Linked DNA regions of Sus scrofa. The protein of the gene in region 2 interacts with the protein of the main gene of each other region in a pairwise test. Links are inferred from orthologs where the notes say so. Each region holds a gene or a part of one and is shown on either strand. Other genes may lie near its edges.

What was found. The genes of interacting proteins can lie anywhere in the genome.
Region 1: the proteins of EFHC2 (region 2) and COPE interact in binary tests that used the Homo sapiens proteins (3 or more experiments, as listed by UniProt). The two-hybrid records come from large-scale screens. The link is inferred for Sus scrofa from reciprocal best matches to the Homo sapiens genes EFHC2 and COPE.

What each region holds. Positions count from the first base shown.
Region 1 is NC_010444.4:58,929,794-58,933,958, forward strand, and holds the start of COPE (coatomer subunit epsilon), read left to right. Parts: upstream 1-1,135; 5' UTR 1,136-1,219; coding exon 1,220-1,345; intron 1,346-4,165. Other genes in the region: probable ATP-dependent RNA helicase DDX49, read right to left, coding at 752-866. UniProt on the Homo sapiens protein: The coatomer is a cytosolic protein complex that binds to dilysine motifs and reversibly associates with Golgi non-clathrin-coated vesicles, which further mediate biosynthetic protein transport from the ER, via the Golgi up to the trans Golgi network.
Region 2 is NC_010461.5:39,517,273-39,521,066, forward strand, and holds part of EFHC2 (EF-hand domain-containing family member C2), read right to left. Parts: intron 920-3,794; coding exon 668-919; intron 1-667. UniProt on the Homo sapiens protein: Microtubule inner protein (MIP) part of the dynein-decorated doublet microtubules (DMTs) in cilia axoneme, which is required for motile cilia beating.

The sequences.
Region 1 (4,165 bases), on a different chromosome or scaffold from region 2:
TCTTTCTGTTTCAGGATTCTGATAACTTACTGTTTTAGCAACTGACAAATTTTAGGAGGAAGAGGCCATTACCATTCCCACTTAACAGAAGGGAGAACAGATCTCAAAGCTTTGCCCAGGACACACTGCCAGTGAGTACAAGCTGGACTAGAACCCACATGCATCTGACCTGAGATGTCTGCTACTAATCACTACCTCATTTTGACTCCTTCCCAGGGATAGAAGCTTGGGAAACCCAGAATGTTCTCCAAAATCTGCATCCTATGCTCCCAAATGATGCCTTCAGCTTTATTTAATCTCTCAATTTGTCCATCTGAGGCTTCCTAAAAAGCCAGAGGAGTGAGGAGAAAAGCAGTCTACAGACTAGAGTCCTAAATTTACCTAGGTTTACCAGTTGTCGGTACCGGTAATACCGACAACCTCAGTTTCCATCTATGAAATGGAGATAGTAATACAAACTACCGAATTTTCCCAGTGTTATCTACCAGTCACTCATCAAATCATCCCAGCGCTCTGAGGCTATCTATGAGAGCTTCAGAAATTACACCACTTGTGTGCGGAAACACGGCGAGTCAATCGTACAGCCTAAACGCCAACACTGAGTAGTCGACTCCGAGAAACCAGGCTCGCCCGTGAGGCCCCAAAGCTGCCCCTCGACCCACGGTACCGGTGTGGGCAAAAGGGGCGAGAAGGCAAAGTAAGGCGACAGGAGCGGGGAAACCTCCTGTAGAAGAGGCCTAGGTACACTCACCCTCCAGGATGGCGGGGATGCAGCCGAGCTGCACGGGCGTGGGCTGCTTCAAACCCAGCTGCCGACATTGTTCCACCAGCCACGATGACAGCCCGAGCTCAGCAAAGCCAGCCATCCTCTCAGTCAGCCCGGCACCCCTGTGAGCCGTGCTTCCGGCGCTTGTCGATGACGTCAGGGAAGCCTTCGCGTTTATTGGATCTACCTTTTGCGCGGCTCCACCCTCTGCAGTTTACTGCCATTCCTAGGCTCATTATATCCTTACCATGTTTTCCCCGAGCCCGCAGACTCGAATACAACTACAATTCCCGAGATGCCCTGTGAACGCACGTGCGTCTCCCGCCCCTTTAACTCCTCTTTAAGCTCATTTCCAGGGAGCCGAGTAAACTACATTTCCCGGAGGCTCTGCGGTGGCTCTGTGCTTCCGGCCGACGTGTCCTCAGGAAGAGGAAGGGGTAAGAACACAGCGACATGGCGCCACCGGCACCCGGCCCGGCCTCCGGCGGCTCCGGGGAAGTAGATGAGTTGTTCGACGTAAAGAATGCCTTCTACATTGGCAGCTACCAACAGTGCATCAACGAGGCTCAGCGGGTGAAGGTGGGCTAGGGGATGCTAGGGGCGGAGGCGGGGGCGGAATACGCTTCCTGTTGGCCACGGGTCGTGCTCTGATTTTAAAACCCTTTCTTTCCTCGTCCCGTTTTTCCTCTCACACCTCTTTAGAGCGCGATAAGGAATTATCCCTGTCCCATGACAAAACCCAAAGCAGCAGCAGTTTATGATACTTCTCACTTTGAGCGCTCTTAGCCTGGGAGGCGTTTGAGTAAAAGAGGGGTTTCTTACCGCTATGGTAATAACAATGGCGAGGTTATTACGCTATAGTAATGATAATAGTAACAGTAATTCTTGTTGGTTCAGCGCCCACACTGTGCCGCCATACCCTCAATACCTGTGAAGTAGGGACGTTGTTTATCCTCATTGTCCAGGTGAGAACTCCGAGGCTTTTCGCAATGTCACCCTGTCCCATTAACCAGATTATTTCTCTCCAAACATGCCCATTCGTTCACTCCTCATGGAGTATCTGTATAAGCCAGGCAGAGTGCTCGTGCTGGGCTCAAAGCAGTACAAAATAGACAAAACTCCCAGCTCTCTTGGAAACCTCAGCTCCCAAGGGAGACAGAGAATTAACAAGTTAATAAACAAGATGTCAGGAGATGGTGTGATGGGGAGTGGTGAGGGGGCTTGGCTGTTTGAGGGCTGAAAAATAGAGTCCAGGGCCCAGGCAGTGAGCGGGTGACAGGAGAGGGAGCAGAAAGGACCTTAGGCAGTACTTTTGGGGAAGGGTCACGGATATTACAGTTACTTTGAGAGTGAGCCATTGGAGAATTTTTTTTTTTTTTTTTAAGGGCTGCACCTGCGACATATGGAGGTTCCCAAGCTAGGGGTCTAATCAGAGCTGTAGCCGCCAGCTTACACCACAGCCACAGCAACTCGGGATCTAAGCCTCGTCTTCGACCTACACCGAAGCTCACAGCAACGCTGGATCCCTAACCCACTGAACAAAGCCAGAGATCGAACCCGCAACCTCATGGTTCCTAGTTGGAATCGTTAACCACTGAGCCACGATGGGAACTCCAGGGTTTAGTGTTCTGAAGAGAGAAAGCTTAATTACAACTTGAGCCCTATGGGGGTGAGAGGAGATGAGAGTACTGAGTCAGAAATGGGGGTGGGGGGAGTTCCCACTGTGGCACAGTGGGTTAAGAATCCAGCTGCAGGGGCTTGGGTCACTGCCATGGCTCAGATTCAGTCCCTGGCCCAGGAACTTCCATATGCCGTGGCGCAGCTATAAAATAAAATTGAAAAAAAATTAGAGATGGGGGTGGGAACTGCTTTGCATGAGAGTGGTCAGATCAGGCCAGATCTCTCTGTCATTTGAACCTGAGACTGAACCTTGGGGAAGGATCTAACCCCATAAGTTGCTGCAGAGGTGGCCGAGGCAGGAGTGAGTTCCAGGTGATCAAGGCCTAGGAGGCTGGTATAGCAGAAGTGGGGCAAGTACAGCGGGAGAGACAAAGAATGAGGTGGACAGAGCCTTAGGGGGCGGCAGCAGCAGGGGTTTGGGTTTTATTCCAAACATGTTTGGAGGCCATTGTGGGAGGCCATCGAAGCACCAAGCAGGGGAGTGGCAGATGTCTTCAGAGAGGCACGCAGAGCCTTCGGAGGAAATTGGATTCTGAAGTAGAGAAAGCTTGTTTTCCCTTCTGGCCATTTGCAGGGAACCTCATGTCCCTGAGCATTATCTATGTAATGGGGGTAGAACTCCAAACAGATTTCAGGAAGGTTAGGATTTGCTGAAATAACGTGTGTACAATCATGTTCGCTTTCCATTGCCGCTGTGACAAATTAGCACAAACAATGGCTTAAAAGAGCACACATTTATTATCTCACAGCTTCTGTAGGTCAGAAGTTCAGCAAGGTTCTCGCCAGGCTAACATCAAAGTATTGGTCTGGCTACATCTTTTCTGGAGGTTCTGGGGAGGAATCACCTTCCTAACTTGTTCCAGTTGCTGCCTCTTGACCAGGGGCCACTCTTAGCTCCTAGAGGCTTCTCTCTAGTCCTCAAGCTCGCACATCACCCTTCCATCTCAGAACCAGCCATAAGGTTCTCATGCTTGGAGTCTCTCAGATTTCCCCCTCTCCTTCATCCCTTTAGTCTAAAAGTCTTCTGCTTGGAGCTCCCGTTGTGGCTCCGCAGGTTAAGAACCTGACATAGTCTCCATGAGGACGCACGTTCAGCCCCTGGCTTGGCTCAGTGGATTAAGGATCTGGCATTGCCACAAACTGCAGCATAGGTTGCAGATGCTGCTTGGATCCAGCATTGCTGTGGTTGTGGTGTAGGCCGTCACTGCAGCTCCAATTCAGCCCCTAGCCTGGGACCTTCCGTATGCCGCAGGTGTGGCCCTAAAAAGAAAATAAATAAATAAGTGGTCTTTGCTTTTAAGAGCATCTGTGATTAGACAGGATGTTCCCATGTAACCTAACATAGTCTCCCCATTTTGGGGCTCATAACGTTCATCACACCATTGAAATCCCTTTTGTAATGTCAACTGTTCACAGGTCCCAGGGATTGGCGTGGACGTCTCGAGGGGAGAGAGGGTACAGGGATGTGTGCGTGTCTCACTCTGCTTAGCACCACGGTTATGGGCCTCCACGCTGGGGTAGTGTATGTAGCTCACAAGAAGATTGAGGCATTCCTGGGCTCGGATTCTGGCTCTTCTAGGTTCTCTCTGCAGCCAAGCCTGATTCACTGCACCTCTCTAAGCCTCAGTTTCCCATCCTGTCACATGGGAACAGTGACATTCATTTCAGTAAGGTCTCTGTGAGATTCATTGTTATACTCATGTTCTGCCTTTTGCTTTC
Region 2 (3,794 bases):
TCATTGTTGCTAGCCAGAGGCTAGTTGGGGACTGGTGACTATCTTCAGAAGCATCACTCTTGTGTGTATGCTTGTGTGTGTGTGTGTGTGTGTGTGTGTGTGTGTGTGTGTGTGTGTGTGTGCGCGCGCGTTCACAACCCAGACCAATACAATGGGATCTCTTCGGTAGGCTATAAAGACCAGAGGCCAGTGGCCTGCCCAAGGCCATGAGCAATTCTTTTTTTCTTTTTTTCTTTTGACTGTGCCCATGGCATGCGGAAGTTCCCGTGCCAGGGATCAAACCAGCGTCACAGCAGCAACCCAAGCCACGGCAGTGACAACACCCGATCCTTAACCCACTGCGTCACAAAGGAACTTCATGAGCAATCCTTTTACTAGACAGTCATTTGCCTTCAAAAGACTCGTTGTGAACTCCATGATGAATAGGCAGTTCTCTTGCATCTGACTTTTTTCCTTCACTTGCCTTATGTCCTGAATATCCCCCCGTTTGTCATATCCCCTGTATTACTTTCATAGATGTATATTAATAGAGGGCACAGAATGAAAAGTCTTCCAAACACCTGCACTAATACATGGTAACTTGTCATCACACATGACATTCCAGACAGTGAGTGACTAGAATCTTCACAGGCAAACTCAGAAAAGTGGTCGCGTGTGGCCTGCTCACCTTTGGTAGCTTTCTCCTCTGGAGGAACAATGACATAGCATCTCTTCCCGAGTTATGCGGCATCACTTCTTTGATTTCGATGGTATCATCAGACAGAAAATAATGCAGGATGAGTTCTCTGCGGTCCCCAAACAACGAGCCCGAGTCATCCCACAGGCAGAAGAAGCGCAAAACCTTCCTGTCATACTCAAGGAACTGTTTGAGGGTGTCAAAGGACTCATAGGGGCGTAAGGGCTCCACGCAGTCTAGCTTCTGCAAATGGGGAAAGGGTTAATGATAGCTGCAGCCTTTCCACAGTTGTTTCCGGGATGCAAGCCATCAGAGAACATAAAGATATTTTGTCCATAGACCATTCTGTGATTTTTTAAAAATTCCCACTAACAACATACATGATAGGCGTATATAACCAGCCTTGACCTTAGAAATACAGACAATCAAGTGTTAGGAAGCTTTTCATTACACAGTGGTTTTTTAATACACTCAAATATATTTCTACAATGTTTTTGAAAATGGCCTTTTCTCAGACTTAAAATTCTTATTTAAGAACAGACAAAGCTAATACACGGTGACAGCAATTAGAAGAGTTACTGCCTCTGGGTAGGGCATTGGTCGGAAAGGTGGATGAGCGAACTCTGTGGGGCGATGGAAATATTCTCTCTTGATTTTCGTGTCGGTTACTAAATTGTATACATTTTTCCAAACTTGTCAGTGTGTATGCTTAAGATTTGGACATCTGAGTCTATGTTAATTCTATTTCAACCAAAAGATTTTTCACTGAAAATTCATATATATCCTTCTTACTCATCCAAAGATTTTTGTGAAGGTAAAAAGGGAAGAAAATACATTCATGGTTTTATTTTGCTCAAAAGCTTTAGATAGCGAGGATCTGAAAGCCATGGAAACGGGAGCAGAGCAAATGGAGAATGTTCCAATCAGCAGGGAGCCACTGGGCACGGGCTCCAACCCCCAAGCCAGGACCCACTAGCCTGGGGTCTTCTTGGTGCAATTCTTCTCTAGCTGCACACTCTCAGCTCCATCTTGGAGCAAAACTGCCCCCATTCTATCTAATGTGGCATAACAGGATCACTACATAAAGAAGGGCTGACTAGCAAGAGAGATGTGGTCCCACATTGGGTTATGTAACCTTACTTGTAAATTCTCAAAATTTTCTATCTGTCCAGGGCAGTCTAGGTGCAGACTTAATCCCAAGACAGTGGGGGAGACACGATAACCTTCCAGAGGCTCTTCTGTCTTATTCGTCACATTTAAATGAAATCACAAGATCTCTACTTTCATCTATTGAAAAATGTTTCCTTGGCACGATAAGGCCTCTAAGAAATGCATTATTGATTATACACCGTCGAGGCTCTTTTCAGTTCAAGTTAAATTGTTTAATTTTAACTTTACATTTCAAGGCAGCAAACACTGGAGAAGTAAATGCATTAAAGTCAATATGAAAGCCTCTTATTAAGCTCCTAATTTTCCACAGATTTCTGTATTTATTGAAGAGCTTTCTCCCTGAGGGAATAAGCACTAAAATTATTCTCCCAATCTGAAAGGAAATTGTTTAAAACATTTCTTGCCTGCTCTTGGTATTTAGTCTTGATTCCTGGAACAAAAGATTTTTTTTTTCTTTATAAACCTATGAAACCACACAGTGTTTTATGTATTTCATATAATGCATCATCATTCACAATCACTATCGTGTAATACCACTGTTAGGGAATGAGTGTAGCCAGATGCAAAGTGGTAATGGTATAGATCCATTTATTTTAGGTTCTCTCTGCTAGTTCTAAAGACTTCTGTATTTATCTAGAGTCTTTCTTCTAGGGCGTTTGGAAAAAAATGAACATGAATCCCAACCATAAATCTTGCACGCCAACACACACAAGTATAATGCCACAAGGATTTTGCCTTCAATATTCCAGGATCAACAATATATATTTCTCAGGAGGGTTGTACGCCTACAACATTAAAGGATAATTCTGCTGGGGCTAGGAGGCAGGAACAGATGAATGATCCTGCGTGCAGCTTTTAACAAGAGATCAAAGCAGAATCAAAGAAGAATTTTATTCTAAATTTTATCTTTCTGCAAAGAAGTTAATTACAAGTTTTAGAAACAATAAAAATGAGACTAAGCTAACCTATAGGGATAGAAATGGGAACAGTGCTTATCCCTGGGTAAGGAGAAGGAGAGATTGGAAAAAGGCACGCAGGAACTTTCTAGGGGAATGGAAATGTTCTATATCATGATTTTGAGTGTGGCTTACATGGGTGTACGCACTGGTTAAGACCTATTAAACTGTATTATTATTTTCCGTGTATTTTATTGTGTATAATCATACTTCAATGAAAAGAGAAAAGAGAAACAAATGCCAATAATGAAAATCCGGATAAGAAGCAAGAGATGGGTGTTCAAGTCTCAGCAAGAAGACTGGTGAGGTATGTGACCTTGCACATGACACCTACCCTTCTGAGTATTCAGATTCTCCTGTTAAACATAAAATTTGGGCCAAGGGATCATTAAAAAAAAAAAAAAAACAACTTTGGAAATACTACAATAATACCACTAACACTGATTCTTCCCTCCCTACACTAACTAGGGTCAGACCTTGAAATCAAGCATCCTGTCATCATGGGGGTACATTGGAATCATGGCCCTCCTCACTCCTGAATATCTCTGTGTCTGATACCACTATAAAGGGGGGGGGGCATCCCGAGGAAGAAGGGAAAAGGTATACCCAAAGCTTGGTTCAGTAAATCAGTAGCACAGAAGCAAACAATCATCCCAGGGTCAGGCAACTGAAATGGGGTAAGAAAAGCCAGGTACGTGTGGGCCCAACTCTTCCACTGTCAGTGACCACAAAACCCCTCGTGGGCTCTTAGAAACACTGTCCCATGCGGGCAGTTCACTGCAGACTCTTACTGCCTGCCAGGGAGGCTGTCCGTGGAGGGAAGGTGGGGGCGGAGGCAGAGAGTGACTCTTTCCTACACTGACGCCAACACCCAGCCTCCCTCCAGCCCAAAGGAAAACAGGACAACTCCAATGACCATGGCCCCCAAAGCTCGTTCACATCTGCCTCACAAGTACCAATACCTTTTACTGGCTCCAAAGGGATTCTCATCC